Linked DNA regions of Canis lupus familiaris. The protein of the gene in region 1 purifies or fractionates together with the protein of each later gene. This does not show direct contact. Links are inferred from orthologs where the notes say so. Each region holds a gene or a part of one and is shown on either strand. Other genes may lie near its edges.

The links. Proteins that work in one complex are often made in the same cells at the same time.
Region 2: the proteins of POLR2J (region 1) and GTF2B purify together in Homo sapiens (affinity purification with mass spectrometry; 3 studies listed by BioGRID and IntAct, with this or other methods). This does not show direct contact. The link is inferred for Canis lupus familiaris from reciprocal best matches to the Homo sapiens genes POLR2J and GTF2B.
Region 3: the proteins of POLR2J (region 1) and RPAP2 purify together in Homo sapiens (affinity purification with mass spectrometry; 5 studies listed by BioGRID and IntAct, with this or other methods). This does not show direct contact. The link is inferred for Canis lupus familiaris from reciprocal best matches to the Homo sapiens genes POLR2J and RPAP2.

The regions. Positions count from the first base shown.
Region 1 is NC_049227.1:7,620,943-7,626,841, forward strand, and holds POLR2J (DNA-directed RNA polymerase II subunit RPB11-a), read left to right. Parts: upstream 1-1,944; 5' UTR 1,945-2,049; coding exon 2,050-2,102; intron 2,103-3,143; coding exon 3,144-3,233; intron 3,234-4,447; coding exon 4,448-4,622; intron 4,623-5,185; coding exon 5,186-5,221; 3' UTR 5,222-5,401; downstream 5,402-5,899. Other genes in the region: RASA4B (ras GTPase-activating protein 4B), read left to right, coding at 1-163; LRWD1 (leucine-rich repeat and WD repeat-containing protein 1), read right to left, coding at 5,700-5,840. UniProt on the Homo sapiens protein: Core component of RNA polymerase II (Pol II), a DNA-dependent RNA polymerase which synthesizes mRNA precursors and many functional non-coding RNAs using the four ribonucleoside triphosphates as substrates.
Region 2 is NC_049227.1:60,007,118-60,013,059, reverse strand, and holds the start of GTF2B (transcription initiation factor IIB), read right to left. Parts: upstream 3,261-5,942; 5' UTR 3,119-3,260; coding exon 3,102-3,118; intron 1-3,101. UniProt on the Homo sapiens protein: General transcription factor that plays a role in transcription initiation by RNA polymerase II (Pol II). Involved in the pre-initiation complex (PIC) formation and Pol II recruitment at promoter DNA.
Region 3 is NC_049227.1:57,137,448-57,143,147, forward strand, and holds the start of RPAP2 (putative RNA polymerase II subunit B1 CTD phosphatase RPAP2), read right to left. Parts: upstream 3,261-5,700; 5' UTR 3,185-3,260; coding exon 3,112-3,184; intron 2,446-3,111; coding exon 2,400-2,445; intron 1-2,399. Other genes in the region: GLMN (glomulin), read left to right, coding at 4,211-4,249, 4,671-4,796.

The DNA.
Region 1 (5,899 bases):
TGCCCCACATGCCCTCACTGAACCCCCTGCCAGGTGCTCGGAGACCCCCCCCCTGGTGCGCTTTCAGCTCTTCACATCACTCCGTCTCACTGGGGAGCGGGGCTTAGGGCTCTCCTGGGCTGGGTGGATTGGGGGCCAGAGGCCCGTCCTTGCCCACCTGTAGTCTCTAGGGGACTTTGTGAGCTCCTTCTCCTCTATGAAGCCTGGCTGTTCCTCGCAGCCCTTGCAGCCATCGCTGGCACCACCCCACTCTCTCCAGGGGCCCTCTCCTACCCCGGCAGACCTAGCCAGAAACCAACCCTAAGATGGCCCTTGACCAGGTGGACTGATACTCCTTGGACTCACAGAGGTGGGAGGGAACATGGGGCCCACCCAGGAGACCAAGCCTTGACCTCAGCATCCCCTCAGCTCCTGGCCATCACATCACCTGCTCCCCTCCAGCCACTGGCTGGGCCCCCCCGGGAGAGCTTTGCGGTGCTGTTGCTGACAATAAACCTGCTGTGACTGCTTGGGCTCTGGGGTCTTGTGATGGGGGTCAGTAGAGGGACTGGGCTTGGTGTGGATTCCAGTGGCTTCTTGAGTGTGGCCAAGGACCGGAGCCACCAGAATAACCTTCGTGCATCCCCTCTGTTCACCCCCCCACACATCCTGGGAGGACTTGTTTCTTCCCCCAACTGCTGTTCCCACCATACTCCTGGGACCCCTGCTCCATCCCCCCCCAGGCTACAGAGCCTGAACAGTGCCTCACCTTTCCTTCCTGCCCCCAGGTGGCTGAGCCTGCACCCCCCCTCCGCCATCACCAACACCCTGTTCTCTGGCTCCTTCCTTAGGACCTCACACAAATCCTCATGCTTTTTGAATCTCGGTGGGTTTCCAGGACCTTGTGGTCCGGAAGTACAGAGCCCAGGGTCCACTGCACCCTAATGAGAGTGAAGGGGAAAGTAGTGTGCACTACTTATGGGGCTGCCACAGGTAGAAGCCTGGGTTTGAACTGCATACATAGCCCCCCAGTGGTGTCACCGCCCACCCTCTCTTCCAGGAGGGTCCTGGATGGGGTGGCTGCTGCAGCCTGTAGGGGTGACAGTGAAGCAGGGCCTGGCACTGTCCCCACGGCTCATGTACCCCCACACCTCTAGGTTCTGTCAGGCGGGAGTGAGGCCCCTTTGGGGTAAAAACTATACCCCTTCTCTCCACCCCCAGCCAGCCAAGTGGCATCCTAGCTTTGCCCGGATGGCCCAGAAGGGTCGCGGCTACGCCCCTGTGCATCATCCCCTCATGCCTTCTGTTCCTCACCAGTTAAAGCCCCCCCCGTGGAGTCCAGGCTGGTGTGGGCCTCTGGCCAATGGCACCTCCTCACCCCAGGGCCCAAGCTTAAGCAAGGAATAGCCCTTCCCAGGAAATGGAGGCTCCTGGTTTCCCGGGCAGGTCCCCGGCGGCTCCTCAGATGCTGCGGCTACTGGAGCCGACGGGAGACCCAGCTCCTTGCCTCAAACAGCGCAGGTGGGGTCCGTCCACACAACTGCGGTCGGCAAAATAGCAACCAGCAGTGCCAACGCACTCCTCTCGGCCGCCAACCGCCTCCGCCGCCGGGCCGTCTGCCTGGCAAGCAGCTCATCGGCCCCAAGCCCGCTCCGCAAAGGGGCGACCACGCGGGGGAAGGTGGGGGTCGCGGCCGGCGGCCTTCTGGTCCTAGGACCTGACGCCTCCTGCCGGCCCGCACTGCGCCCTGGCTCCATTCTCCACTCGAGGGCCTCGCGCTGGGCCCTCCAAGCGCATTTGCAAAGAAGGATCTTGAGGGGGGGGGCGGCCCCCGGGGCCGCCAACGCCCCCGCCAACGCCTCACGCATGCGCAGAGCCACCAGCGCCTCGGTCCTCCCGGGCTCCTCTCGCCTGCGCTACATCCCCCGGGCCTCCAGGGGGCGAGCGGCCGGCCTCCCCACGGGGGCCGTAACCCGGAAGCAGCCGCTAACCCGGAAGAGGTGGCGTCGTAGAGGGTCCTGCAGGCGTCGGGGGCGGCCCTGCGGCTTCGGCTGCGAGTGCGGCGCTAGGATGAACGCCCCTCCCGCCTTTGAGTCGTTCTTGCTCTTCGAGGGCGAAAAGAAGTAAGTGGAGCTGGCGGGGGCGAGCCTGGGGTCCGTCCAGTAGCGGGAGACGGAAGCCTCTGTGTCCGCCAGATTCGAGCCAGCCCTGCCGGGCGGTGGCGACCGACCCCCTTCCGCAGATGCGGAAACTGAAGCTCAGAGAGCCAAGGAGCTGCCCCGGCCCTCGGGGAGTGGCGGTGTGCGTGGCGCCAGAGTGCTTCCCCCCGGGATCCGGCAGCCCCCTCGCTCGCGTGCCTGGCCGCCGCCTCCTGCGGCTGCAGCGGGGTCCGGCTCTCAGGCTCTCGTCCCGCCTTCGCTGGCCTCCGGAGAACCTCCAGCGGCTTCTTGCCCGCGGGGTGCAGGCGGTGTAGTCTTGCTGTCTCTCAGCCTGGGCTTGGCTCCTGGCTCCCCCACTTAACGTCTCCGTGTCTTTGGGCAGGTGGCTTAGCCTGCCTGAGGCCTGCTTTCCTCATCTGGAAAATGGGCTTCTTGCTCTGTTAAATCACAGGATTTTCTCAAAGGGGAGCTTGAGATGATTTACGGGAAGTGCTTAGGCCAAGGCTCAGCACACAAAAGACTGTCTTAAACGTCGGCTTTTCCTTCTCTTAACAGCCTGGTGTGCGGGGCTCTATGTCTAGCCCTTGCCAGCCACTTCGTCTCCCTTGGGAGCAGTGGTTGGCAACTAGGGGCTATTTTGCTCCCCAGGGGACTTTTGGCAACGTCTGCAGACACTTTCGTCACATAGGGGCTGCTGCTGGCAGCTAGTGAATAGAGACCAGGGATACTGCTCATATCCTGCAATGTACAAGACCACCCCCTGCGGGAAAGAATGATCCACCCTAAGATGTCACTGGTGCCAAGGAGCAATCCAGAGTAGGTGAGGGTCCCGCAGAATCGGGGCATAGCCACTCTGCTGCTCTGAGTCAGAGGTCTTTATGGATGAAGAGATGGAGGAAGGCTTCGAGGTGGAAGTGGGGCTTAAGCCTGAGTTAAAGGGCAGGATTTATCCTGGGGGGAGGAGGAGAGCCCCGTTTCCCATCTGTTGCTACCACCTCTTCCTAGGATTACCATTAACAAGGACACCAAGGTACCCAATGCCTGTTTGTTTACCATCAACAAAGAAGACCACACACTAGGAAACATCATCAAATCGTAAGTTCCGAGTCAGAGGCTCTCAGGCAACGTTTAATGGGGCTCTTTGAGGCAAAGCACACGTCCCAGATTTCCCGAAGTCTCTCTGAGCTGCCGGAAGGTCTGGGTGCTTGTTCTGGCAATTCACACGTTTCAGTACGTTTTCCCCAAAATGCTGCTGCCCTGGATCTGTTCCCACAGCTGTATTTCTGTACTGGTTCATTTATCCGATGAAAGGAAGTGAACGTGTGGCAAAGCCAGAGAAACCTAGGCCGACTTGCCAGAGATTGGAACTTATTAGAATGAGGGGAGAAGGTGGGGGAGAGGCTCTGTGATTATCCGATGCTCATGTTGGTTAGCAGGTGTGTAAGTACATTAGCGAGGTCCTGGCCAGGTAAGTGGTCAGTGATGTGGTTGCTGTTTGGGCTCAAGGGCTTTTGTCAGAAAAGCACCATGGGTGAATCTAGGTCTTTCCGAGGGTCATGTGTTTGAGACCACTGGGCAGGAGCCCACCTCACCTCTGGGCTGAAAGTAGGAGGTGGGGCTGGCTCTCTCCAGTCTGGCTGGCCCCACCCTGAGCCATGCCGGTGCTGCTCCCAGGCCCTTCTGCTCCCCTACTCTGGGAGGCATGTCCCCACCTGTGCAAGAGCCTTCCCTCTTGGTGCCTGCTGCTGACTGAGCTGCTCCAGAGAATCCCCCGCGGGCCCAGGGCAGAGCATGGCATGCACACTTCACCTCACAGCCAGGCACAACGGGTCCCAGGTGTGTGGGCAGCAGCGTTGACCAAAGGGCTTCCGTTTCACTAAGCACTCAGAGCCTGAGCCTTTCCTGCTGTGCCAGACGCTCTTACTGGGCCAGAACCAGCACATTGTGTTCTGGTTACTGAGCACTGGCTGCCTGGGGAGGGCTCTTTGGTGCTGTTGCAGGCCCCCGACTTCCCCTGAGGGAAGTTTGCTGGAAATCCTCTTTACCAGCTGGGGTCCTGGATCCTCATGGATGTAGGGGTGGGGGGAGGAGGGAGGTGTCCTCATGAGGCAGATGTTCCAGATGTTTTACTTGGAGATATCTTTGGGAAATCAAGAGCAGGAAAGCAGCTGGAGTCAGCCATCTCCTCCCTGCCCCACCCCCCTCGCTTCTAGGCCTCAAGCCAGTGGGAAGGCTCCTTGGTTAGAGGCCTGGTGGTCCCAGGTGCTAGGCCCAGCCCCCATGTCACACTGCCCATTTCCTGATCTCAGACAGCTGCTGAAGGACCCCCAGGTGCTGTTTGCTGGCTACAAAGTCCCCCACCCCCTGGAGCACAAGATCATCATTCGAGTGCAGACCACACCAGACTACAGCCCCCAGGAGGCCTTCACCAACGCCATCACAGACCTCATCAGCGAGCTGTCCCTGCTGGAAGAGCGATTCCGGGTGAGGAGCCGGGCGGCGAGGGGTGTTTGCATGCTAGCCAGTATGGCCAGAGCTGTTCTGATGCCCACACCGACAACCCCTGGGTAGTTTCCGGATTTATTGTGGGGTGGGGGCACGTGGTGACTGAGCAGCAGTGCCACTACAGCCTTGAACGAGCTTGGACTAAGGGGTTTTAACAGAGTTGAGGTCGGGGGCCTGCTATCTGCAGGCATGGGTGGGAACTGTACTGAGTGCTCCAGGGTCTCCTTGGGACTGCTCCCCCAAGCCTTCTCTGGTTAAGGCCTGGCTGCTTCCAGGTATCTATCTGTACATGGGGCAGCTCATCCCAGGCAGGGTGGGGTCCCACAGTTGAGGCCGAAAGGGGATGGTCCCACCTGTCCACGCAGAGGGCCTTAAAGTCTGACTTGGGTGTCAAGTGGGAAAGATCCACAGCTTCTCAGGCAGATGGGTGGGGTGTGCTCAGAAGGCCCTGGGGTTGCTGACAGGACAGCAGGGCCCGGGCAGACCTCGGGTCACTGGGGCTGCTTTCCCACTAAGCAGCTGCCCCCTCCCTCTCCGCTCAGGTGGCTATTAAAGACAAGCAAGAAGGCATCGAATAGTGGGCTGGAGGAGTCTTGTTTGGCTGGTTCCTACCCTGCACTGGAACCTTCTCCGGGCTTCCAGTAGAGGCGAGCAGCTTCCCTGGCTTCAGGGACATCTTGTTGAGCTCCTCCCCCCAGAGTTGGTGTGTCCTGTACACGGAGTGTTTTACCTTCCTAATAAAGACCTGGCTATGGGAAGCAGTGGACCTGCTCAGTTTCACAGCGGACAGGCCCTGGGCCCCCGACTCCTAGACCGACAACCTGGAGCCTGGGAGGGCAGGGGTGGCCTGAGAGGCATGCTTTAGGAGTCTGTTCAGAGCTCAAGGTAGGAACACCAGGGGAGCCACAAACAGCTCTCCAGCCTTCCCTCAGACAGCAGAGAGTTTATTAATAAAATATATTCACTGATGAAAAGATTCTCGTCCTTAGCCCCAAAGCTGAATAAGTTAAGTCATGTCCCTGGTGCTCTGCCGCAGAGGCAGGAACCCCACTCTGGCTACTGTCTCTTCCAGATGGCCACGATATTGGAGTCCGTCAGGGCGGTGAGGTAGGTAAAGGTGGGGTTGGCCACCACCGTGTTCACCATGGTCTTGGTCACCATCTGGCCGAGCGCCCAGGGTTGGGGCCACTTAAGAATCTGGGGTGGCAAGAAGAAAGGAGAGCTGGGTTCTGGCGTTCCACACACGGTCCCCAGCA
Region 2 (5,942 bases), about 52 Mb from region 1:
CTTGTATGTATGCATATAAATGATATATAAATATCTCAAAGATATGCTAAGTGAAAAAAGTTAGAGATTTTTTTTCTTAAAGATTTTATTTGAGAGAGAGAGGGACAATCTGAAGCTAACCCTGCACTGAGCACAGAGTCTGATGTAGGGCTCAATCACACAACCAGGAGACCAAGACCTAAGCTGAAACCGTGAGTTGGACGCTTACCCGACTGAGCCACCTAGGCACCCATAGGGATTTTATACAAAACTAGAAAAAGTATGATAACAGTTATATGCAGTAACAAAGATGATTCTCAAAAATACTGATCAAAAGAAAGTAGGCAGAGGAAAACAAACCACTTATATAAACCTTAAAGTGGGCAAAATAAATCTATGGTATTAGAAGTTGGGATATGGTTATGTTTGGAAAGGGGGTAATGGCTGAGGGCACAAGGAGGCTTCCAGGGTGCCAGTGGCAATTAATTTCTTGACTGGGGTGGTAGCTATGTCTATGCGCTCATTTTTAACTGAACTGTGCACCTAAAATGTGTGCTAACTTCACAAAAATGGTAAAAAGGTAGCAAACTGTTTACAATGGACTTTGGGGGAACAAGAGAGATTGGCACTGTTAAACAAGTTTGTTAAACTATTAGGAAAACACCAAGAAACTGGTTATGATGGCTGCTTTCAGGGGAGAATTAGATGGCTGAGAGCTAGGCAAGAAACTTCTTTTCACTTTTGTTTTTGTACTACTGTGTGTTACGTATCCAAAATAAAATGAATCATGAGGGGCAGCCCTGGTGGTGCAGTGGTTTAGCACCGCCTGCGGCCCAGGGTGTGATCCTGGAGACCTGGGTCGAGTCCCATGTCGGGCTCCCTGCGTAGAGCCTGCTTCTCCCTCTGCCTGTGTCTCTGCCTCTCTCTTCTCTCTCTGTGTATCTCATGAATAAATAAATAAAATATTAAAAAATAAAAAAAATAAAAAAATAAAAAAAATAAAATGAATCATGATACAGCAGTCAACTTTAATTAGAATATCCACAAGAGTAATCAAAAAGGAGCCACAAGAGTAGGGCAGTGGGGGAAGGGAGAGAGAGAAATGAAAGAGAAAGAATGGAGTAAACAACCACCCAAGACATTAAAACAATTCAGAGTACCTAAGGAGCCAGATAAACCCAAATCTCACTTTATAACGATCACTTATTGGGTCCCCACTGTGTGCCTAGTGCTACACTTATTATTCATTTTCATAGCAACCCTGCAAAATAAAGGTTATTTCCCTTCTAAAGATTAAGCTTACAAAACGATTAGCCTGAAATTACAGAAAAATGGTGGAGTTTAGACTTGAACTCACAACATTTGTGTTTTTCTCTGTGAAAACACCAGGCAGTTTCATAATCTAGTAACTATTCTCCCTCAAGGGGGGAAAAAAAAAAACAAACTAAAAGGCAGAAATACTAACATTTTACCTTTGTTCTCACCCGTAGAAAATTTAGAGATGGACAACTCAATGACACATAGATTTAAGACCTGGACGTGTCCAGAAACAATTTATTTCAAAAATTATTTTTTAACAAATGAAGAAAATAGAGACACACAATGGTAAGTGTATTCTTTTGATAAAGAATCTAGCACATGAACTTAACTACAGTTAACTGTTGCAAATTTTTCTTACAAAATTCCTGTCCTATCCTATGGAAAAGCTGTGCCCAAGTGTGACCACATTTACTTTTCAGATCTACTGCCCTAAGACGTGGTAGTTAGGTGTCTTCAGGAAGCTCAAGTTTTCCACTTACCTACAAGAAAAGCCTTTCCCAACAGAGCCACACCCAGACCGAATGATTGAGTATTCAATCACAGAAGTACAATCAGTAAACAAGAGTGTCCCTGGCTTTGAGTGGTTTCCAAGTTGTTTTAGCTAACACTGCCTCCCCCAACACCGTTTTTTTTTCCCCCCTTAAAAAGTACAGTAACATAAAGCAGTAAGTCTTAGCAGTACCACAAAAGGGCCCGGACTTCTCCAGTTTGCTGTTTTGTGATACTGGCTTTTACTGGGAACTCAATTCTCACAGAGGATAACAAATTCAAAAAAATTATGCCAGTTACCTCCCCAGAAGCTATAGAACTTGACACTTTCAATACATTATGAGCTAACTAGAGGCCAGCTGCGTGGTAACAGGAAACTGATAAGGGATTCTACACTCTGTTCTGACACTGACCTTGGAAAAGTCAACACCGGCATGACTCAGTTTACACTTATGCAAAAATACTAATATCTACCTCGTAGTGGTAATGAGAGACTTAATTAGGGTCTACAAACATTTTTTTCGGACCACAGGATTAAAGGCTGTCTTTAAGGGCACTGCACTTATTTCCTGTAGATAGGAGTATATCACATTAAAAAAAAAAATATCTTAGTGTTAAAAAAAAAAAAAAAAAAAAGACTTAGTAACTTCCCAGCGTATGTAAGCAATTGTCTGCAGGCAAGATTTTCTTCAGGAGAATGCAGAAGACCTCTGTAAAAATATAAACCTCTTAGAAGGGAACTTCTCAACTCTTCGGAAACGCCCCCAGCTTCCATTTCGGAAGGCCTCTGGGACGGTAATCAGTTCCCCTCGGGCTGACGTCCCTAACTCTACAGCTGTCAGATCGACAGGGGCCTGGAACTAACCCTTTCCCGCTTTTTGGAAAGGATCGTGGGCTGGTTGAGCCACAGCTGGAAAAACAAGCGTAGAAAAAAATTAACACACACAAAAAAAACAAAAACAAAAACACCACAGTTAAGATATCCACCCCCCCCCACCCACCCCCAAAAAAAGACGCGAAACGAGGGGGGGCTGGGGACACAGCGGCCCTCACAGGGTGGCGGCCGGATGAGCTCACGAGCCAGGACGTCGGGTGGTACCGCCGCTGTGGGAGCGCCGCGGTCGGCAGCCCCTGAGCCGCCCCTGACAGCCCTGCCGTCTGGAAGCGCCTTTGTCCGGCTCGGCCAGCCAGTCCACCGCCTCCCCCCGCACCTCCGGAACGCTCTGCCCGACACGGCCCCCCGGGGCCCGCCTGCCCACTCTGGCACTCTCCGCCCGCCCCTCAGCGAGCGCGGCTCGGCCGGACGTACTAACCGGCTGGTAGACGCCATCTTCACGGCCCCCGCGGCCTCAGCGACGAGCCGACCGACGCGCCAAGAACAGGAAGCGACTGTGGCGACGGGACGCTCCGAGCCCGGCTTTTATAGAGCGAGCCTCCCACGTGGTCATAATAGGGCGCGGCTACGGGTCGGGAGAGGGGCCAACAAAAGTGAGCTTCTGGGTGCCACGTGCTTCGCGTTTTTTTTTTCAATCTTCCTATTGCGTTGCCTTGACTTGCTGTGCTGCGGCGCGAGCCAGCTCGACGACCTGGGGGGGTTCTCGCGGTGACTCTAGGGCGGGCCGAGTTCAAACACGGAGACAGCCCGGGCCCGGCGGGGGCTGCAAAGCCCGCACCCCCGAAGGCGCACCCTCCACCGCCCCGCTCCCTCCCCGCCGGGGGTTCGAGCGCAGTCCTTACTCGTGCTTAGGGGCGATTCCACTTAAGGAATTAGGAGTCAAGAGGGAGATTCACCTAAGTCCGCCTGAACAGGTGTCAATGTCGGCTCTGCCGTCGGCTGCCGAGCTGTTTCTTCTCCCCTTTGGGTGCAAGCGGGGCCCCCCTCTGCTCCGCAGGCGCTTTCCGAGTTGGCGGGAGGTGGAGCAGGCCCTCGGGAGGGCGCTCGGCCCTCGCCTCGGAGGCCGGGAGAGGTCGGCGCAGGCCTGATTTTTTTTTTTTTTTTTCGTGGCCTTTGCAAAATCTGGTTGATTAGCCGAAGCACAGAGAGCTCCGTGGAAGGTTCCATGCCCCAGAAGGACCCTCGGTTTATTACTTAGCCAAACTAACATCAGGACAGTGGCAATAAATAACAATAACCTCGCCACCCATCTGCTGAAAATAAACCAACCTTGACCCTGTGGGAATCAGAGGAAAGAGGGTGCTCCAGGTTTCTATGGGGATGAAGACAGAATATAGTGGCTGCTTTGTTCACTTGGGCTTGGGGCTTACATGCCACTGAGCCCTCATTGTATTCTTGAAAGGTGGGAAAGGCTCACTTCCTTAGAACAAGGGTGTGAGAAGCAGAAGTTTAGGAACTGAAATCCAGCTGGAGAGGAGAGAGTAGTTTTTTCTTTTTTCTTTCTTTTTTCTTTTTTTTCTTCTCCCAGTCTTCCAATCTGTAATTCTGTAATTTAAAAACTTGACTACTTGACTGTACTTTGGCTGGTGGGGGGTGGGAGGTGAGGGTCTCTCTTAATACCTGGAAAAGTTTCACAAATAACAGTTCATTTCAGCTGTGCCAAATGCAACCAGAAAAAGGGTTGGGGGTGCCCCCCCCCCCATGCAGGCAGGACGTTTTTTATAGATAGAACACCTTGACTTGGAAGAAGAAGGGGGAGACCAGAAGGAGGACAGCTAGGCCCTTCTGGAAGATCAAGAATAAGGACCTATATCACCTAGTGGGCATGCGGTAATGTTTGCAGAAGAAAGAAATCAGAGAAGTTGAAACCCGGGAGGAAAGAAGCTGGACGGCCTGTTAAATTACTTCTGCCCCACCTGGAGAGTCTCTTATCTGTCATAAGCCAGTTAGGATTTCTTTTTGTTAAAGTAGAAACAATTTAGGTAGGCCATTCTTGTGTTTGTACAACACTGGCAATTTATATAGCCTCTCATCAACATTTATCCCATTTAATCTTTACATCTGATCCTGGGATTAAAATACACAACTACGCACACACACAAGCACATAGAGTTGGGGTCTTATCACCTAGGAATCAATGACCCAGATTAGTGTTTACAAAAAATTCCAGTTTGTTAGTATCGTCATTTCTAGTTAACTTAAATCTGTGAATGAATTAAGTAAAATAACTCGTTCAAATCAACTATTTAAATTAACTCATCTTTTTAACTCAAATACTTATTTTAAAAGTTCGTATTACTACAATGAAGTCAAAATTGATGTGCTAGTACTTCTTTTTTTTTTAATTGATGTGCTATACTTCTTCTAAAGTATAAAATGCTTTACATAGCTAATTATTTTTTACAAGTTGTGATCCATCTAGGTATATTTTTCAAAAATTTATTGAGGTATTACATACTATAGAATTAACCTGTTTAGAAATCAATGACATTTGGTAATTTAAAGGGTCTTTTTTTTTTTAAGATTTTAGTTTTTGTTTTTTTTGTTTTTTTTTTAATTTTTTTTGCTAGGACTTCTGGTACTATGTTGAATAGCAGTGGTGAGAGTGGAAGATTTTAGTTTTAGGTAATTTCTGCACCCAATGTGGAGCTTGAACCTACAATCCTGAGGTCAAGAGTCACATGCTCTACTGACTGAGCCAGCCAGGCTCCCCTTTAGTAATTTTAAGAACTTGTGCCTGTATCTCTAATCCAGTTTTAGCACATTTCCATCATCCCAATAAGAGCACTCATGCCCATGTACAATTCATGCCAGTTGGACTTCCAGCCCCAGGAATCAACCTTCTACTTTCTGTCTCTGTAGATTTATCTTTTCTGGACTTTTTCATGTAAATGGAATCATACAATATGTTGTCTCTTATGTCTGGCTTCTTTTACTTGGCGTTATGTTGTGGAGGTTCATTAAATCTCTCTTGTGGCCTCACTATTGGAAACATTGATACTGAAGTATCCGTTAATGTGAAATTGGAGAAAATAACATTTTCCTAACCTAAGCAAAGTTTGACAAATATTTGTTTGGAAATTGTATGACATACTCTGCTAGACAAGGAAGAAAGGAGGATTGAGTGAAATGTTTGACCAGATTGGACTTGGACCCTTGGAAATGGGATGAAATGCCTAGAATATTAGATAAACTTCATGTGCCCTGTGTAATATATATTACTCCTAGAAATGTGTGAGTTTTTTAGAGGTATAATGTA
Region 3 (5,700 bases), about 50 Mb from region 1:
TCACAGAGAGAGAGAGAGAGGCACAGAGACACAGGCAGAGGGAGAAGCAGGCTCCATGCATCGGGAGCCTGATATGGGATTCGATCCCGGGTCTCCAGGATCGCGCCCTGGGCCAAAGGCAGGCGCCAAACCGCTGCGCCACCCAGGGATCCCACCCCATGGATTTTTAATTGCTTCATCATCCTGGGTAATTTGCCCCCAATACATTTCAGTGTATCTATACTTCTCACACTATGATGCTCACAATAAAATATAATCTTCTTGGGTTTGTGGTCAGATCACACTATTGAAGAAAGTTGCAAATTACCATCATTATCAGTATTAACTTTACTCTTGCAGTGTATCATAAAACCAAGTCATGCTACTCCACAGGGAAATATTCTCTAAAATAGATCGCAAGGGGCACTCAGGTTGCATAGTTGGTTAAGTGTCCAACTCTTGGTTTCCACTCAGGATCATGGTAGTGAGCCCCGTACTATGTTCCTTGCTCAGCAGAAAGCCCTCTTTCCCTCTCCCTCTGTACCTCCCACCCGTTAATTTTTTAAATTTCTTCTCGCATGCTCTCTCTCAAGTAAATAAATAAATCTTTAAAAAAATATTGATCTCAAATCCATCCAATTTCTCTATTCCCAGATGATCACCATCGCTAACATCTTAAAACTTTTATTTTTTTATTTTTAATTTTTTAAAGATTTTTATTCATGAGAGACACACAGAGAGAGGCAGAGACATAGAGGGAAAAGCAGGCTCCCTCATGGGAGCCCCATGCAGGACTCTCCCAGAACCTGGGGATCACGCCCCAAGCCAAAGGCGATGCTCAAGCACTGAGCCATCCAGGCACTCCTCTTAAAACTTTTTAAACTTAAATTTCATCACTCTATTACTTGATGTTTTCATATTTGCATTTAGAAAATCTAAATTTCTCACCACGGCCCACCAGATTCTTTAAGAATGGAATCCTAAGTTTTTCCTATGCTCCTTTCTTCCCTTGCTCAAAATGCCATACACTACCACGGTTATCTTTCCTTTCCTTGAACTGACCTTTTTCTTCTCAGGGCCTTCATATATACTGCCATCTCTGGCTGGACTCTCCTCAGGACTCTGGTTAATGCCTATTTAGCCTTCAGGGCTCCAAAGTCTTTCCCCGAGAATCCCCAGCTAATCTGAACACCTATTAGTTCCATCTGATAACTTCATAGTCTTTTCCTTTATAGCACTTATCACAATATATAATTATGTATTCAGTTGTGACAATTTAATCCGTATTTCTCCGTTCCAGTAGAAAAGAACTGTGTCTATTCTGCTCAAAACCATATCCTCAGGGCTTAACACAGGCCTGGCATATCTCCTATTTGGTAAATAATTTTTGAAAGAATGAGTAAATGACAGCCACTACCTGCCTGATATAAAAGGATAAATCACTGAAACCCCTAGGCGGCTCAGGTGGTTAAGCATCTGACTCTTGGTTTCAGCTTAGATCATGATCTCAGGATTGTGAGATCAAGCCCTGAGTCAGGCTCCACACTCAGTGGGGAGTCTGCTTTAGAGTCTCTCTTTTCCCTCTTCTTCTACTCCCTCTTCACCTGCATCCCACACATGTACTTGCTCACTCTCTAAAATGAATAAACATATTTTTAAGATTTTATTTTATTTATTCATGAGAGAGACATACATACACACACACACACACACACACACACACACACACACACACCCCGGGCGGTGGGGGGGGGGGGGGGCAGAGACACAGGCAGAGGGAGAAGCAGGCTCCATGCAGGGAGCCTGATATGGGACTTGATCCTGGATTCCAGGATCATGCCCTGAACCACAGGCAGATGCTCAACTGCTGAGCCACCCAGGTATCCCAATAAATCTTTTTTTTTTATTTTTAAGAATAAAATATTGACCTATGTATTTAAATCATTCTCATAAACTACTCCTATTCTAGAAACTTTGTGACAGGAGGTAAATCTAGTCTGTTTAGGAGATGCCAAGCAACAGAATAGGACTTTTTTTGCTGAAAATATGGACATAATGTAAACGAAGAACAGTAAAGGTTTCTTGGAGTCTCTGGTATATAAAGTAATAAAAGGCAAGTGTACCTGAAGAGGTGGAAAAGGAGTACCTGCTTAACTGAAGAATGTTTATTCCCTTAGACATCTTTCTACAGATACTCATACCTTCACCAGCAATCTAAAAGTGTCTTGATTTGGTTTTCTTAAAGCCTGGAGTAGAGAGATATAATGAGTCTATATATGAGAAATTATAGTGCTTTTCTGATCCTCTCTTTGTTTCGCATAATTTTTTTTTAAGTATCTCCCATTCTTGTTTATAAAAATGGTTAAATTAACATGAGATAAATAGATAAGCTAATGCAGTTGTCCAAGTAGTTCTCCTACCTTTTAGAAGCATCTTCTTGTTTTAAAGCATTCGTCTGTTTAGCACCTACAATAATAATAAAAATATTTTATATTTATAATAATAAAATTATTGTGGAGTTCAAGTCTTCGGAAACACACTAGTTTACAGGACAGATTCCTACTGAAACTGCAGACAACCTCTCTTCTTTCTTCCCCACACGTTACTTTCCAATCCCGTTTGCAAAACAAATGAAATGGGCAAGCGGAATTCAGTTTGCTAATTATTCCCGAATTCTTCTTGGTTAAAATGTATCTCCTCGGGGATTGAATTTTCTCATGTAAAACAGCTGCATGGTCACGGGGGCTCCTGCAAATCTGAGGTGTAGGCAACTCGAAATGTTCCCCCGAATGTTCGCTCACAGGGAAAGAGCAGGGGTGGGGTGACGCCTCAGAGGACCCGGAGCTAAAGCAGGAGTGCATGTCCAAGCTGGGCTGCCCCGGTCGCTTGCCCTTTCTGGCGAGCCAGCTCTAGACTCCAGCTCCTCTACTCCCTTTCCCTCAGAGACCGGTTCTGGGGCAAATCTTGGAACACCGGTGTGAAGAGGTGAGGGTGTGGAGGTCTTTCCCAGAAGACCCGAGGCCGGGGATGGGCCGCTCTGGGCCTTCTCTGCCCCGGAGCAGTCTTCCGGGTGTGTCCCGCGCGCCTCCGTGTGGAACACTCGAGGGGCTCGGTTCTCAGGGCCCTTCTTACCTGAGGCGTTTCGGGAAGCGCGGGGCGTCCGAGCCTTGAGGCCGGGCGAGCGCGGCCCGGCGGAGTCAGCCATGGGAAACGCGTCAGAAGGTCAGCCCGGGACCCGGCGTCTCCCCCCGAGGCTCCGCCCCCCGTCGCTAGCGCGGGGCGGGGCCGGCCGGGGAGGGGCGGGGCCCGGAGAGGCCTGCGCGGCCGGAGGAGGTGGGGGAAGCCGCCGAGAGCGGCGAGAGGCCCGGCGGTAAGTGGACGCGCCCGGGCGGCGGGGGTGGCCGGGGCTCGGGGCCAGCTGCGAGCCGCGGGGGAGCCGGCGCCGCGGCCCGCAAGGCCCCACGAGGTCGTGGGCCCGAACGCCTAGGCCCGCAGGAATCGGGAGAAATGGCTTCCTTTGGATGCAGTCCGCACGCGCGCTGGGCTTTTATCCGCTCTGGAGCGCGCGGCCGCGGGGACCCGGCTGACCCAGCTCCCGCTGCGGGCCTGGGGCAGGGTCTTGCCGCTGGGCCCACGGCGCCTGCGGGAGCCGAGCCGTGTTCCCCCGGGAGCTGCCGGTTGCGTCGCGTCCGTGCGGCCTGGCGGTTACACCAGCTGGGTGACTGGGGGACCGCATCGCTTACAGAAGAACGTCCGGGTCGCACTTGGGACTGTGGGCATCGGAACTTTCACCCGCTCTGGGGTGAGTTGTGTAGGCGCCAGTGTTTGTCAAGTGGGACATTGAAGCATTTTTTAAGATTCCCTAATGACTAGAACTGATTTCAGGAACACTTTTGGGAAATTTTTTCAGAAAAGAAATACTTAGCCTTTTTAAAGCCATTTACGTAGCCGATATTTGCGCTCCTGTTTGGGCGTACCCAGGAGGATTTTTTTTTTTTTTTTCAGGTAGATCTTTCAAAACTATTCTAGAAAACCTAAAAGATGCAACAGTTTTTTACTCCTTAGGCTAAAATACTTTTAAGTCAAAATATTTCAGCTTTAAAATGTCGTATTTTCCTTATTGTATTTACTGATAATTCATCAGAATGAAACATAACTCATTAATACTGTAATATCACTGATAGTTAACTGTTTTATATTTCAGCATAAAAACTAGGAAAAATAACGAGGAATGGCTGTGGAAGAACTTCAGTCCATAATAATGAGATGTGTAAGTAATTTTTCTTCTTGTAAAGTTAAATGCAAGATTATTTCTAGTTATACTTAGGGTCACTCAAATTGCTTATCTTCTCTAATCCTTGCTTTGTTTGACCGGTGAATAAATAGCAGGAGGGCCAGAAGGCAGATTGGATTATCTCTCCAAGTGACCTACTTGTCTAACCTTTAACATTTTTTTTTTTTAACCTTTAAAATTTTTAATATTGATCTTTATTGTAGAATTTTTTTTGGCAGTGTGGATTTCAAGATCATTAAACTACTTTTTCAGGCTTATCCTAATTTTCACACATATGCTAATGTGCAACTTACTCAGAATTCAAACACATTTCCTTTTTATTTCCAGAGAGAATAAATCAAGTAGTTATTGAATTTTTTATTCACCAAACGTTTTGTCTTCATTTTGTTTTTGTCAGCAAATCCTAGAAGAACAAGACTTCAAAGAAGAAGATTTTGGCCTATTTCAATTAGCAGGCCAAAGATGCATAGATGAAGGGCACATAGAGCAGCTACTAGAGATTATTCAAAATGAAAAGAATAAGGTAAGTGCAATCTTTATGAGTATTTTTTAGTCTTTACTAGGAAGATAATAGCCACATGATGCTATTGTTTATCCACTCATTCATCAAACATTTAAGAATCAAATTTCTACAGTAGGAACATGGAAAACAAAAAAGGGCTTAGGGCTATTCATACACTTGAAGGTGCTTATAGTCTGGTGGAAGAGATAATCATGTAAACAACTAGCAAGAGGGCAGAATAAGTGAAATAATAGATATAGTTTGAGTAAAGTGCTTTAAAAGAGCAAGGATTATTTCTGCTTTAGGGATCAAAAGTGGCATTTGGATTATTATTGATTTACATTTAGTACTGTAAGTATCAGGCAACCTAGATACTCATTTTTGGTAATCCGCACTTTCTCTTTCTTAAGCCAGATATATATGGAAAACCAGATATTAAGTAAGATAATATTTAGGAGGCTGGCTGAGTCAGTTAAGTGTATCTGGTATCAGTTAAGTTCCTCTGGTAGACAGGGAACATCTGCTTTCCACTCAGCTGATGATCCTGGGTTTTAGGATGGAGCACTGCTTTAGGCTCCCTGCTCAGCAGAGAGTCTGCTTCTCCCTCTGCCTCTCCCCTGCTCATTCTCGCTCTCTCAAATAAATAAATAAAATCTTAAAGAAGTAAAAAGATAATATTTGGGTGCATAAAATCAGAATAGGAGCAGACTTAGATGGCCTTACTGGCCAATATCATGCAGCTATAATCATCTGAAAAATCCTTTTCATCAATGGGAAAAGGATCTTTTGGGAATGAGAAACAAATGTTTCCGGGGACGCAGTGTTGGCAACACTGCCAAATTTTTTGTCTTTGTACTTGCCTTTTTTTTTTTTTAAGATTTTATTTTTTATTCATTCATTCATTCATTCATTCATTCATGAGAGA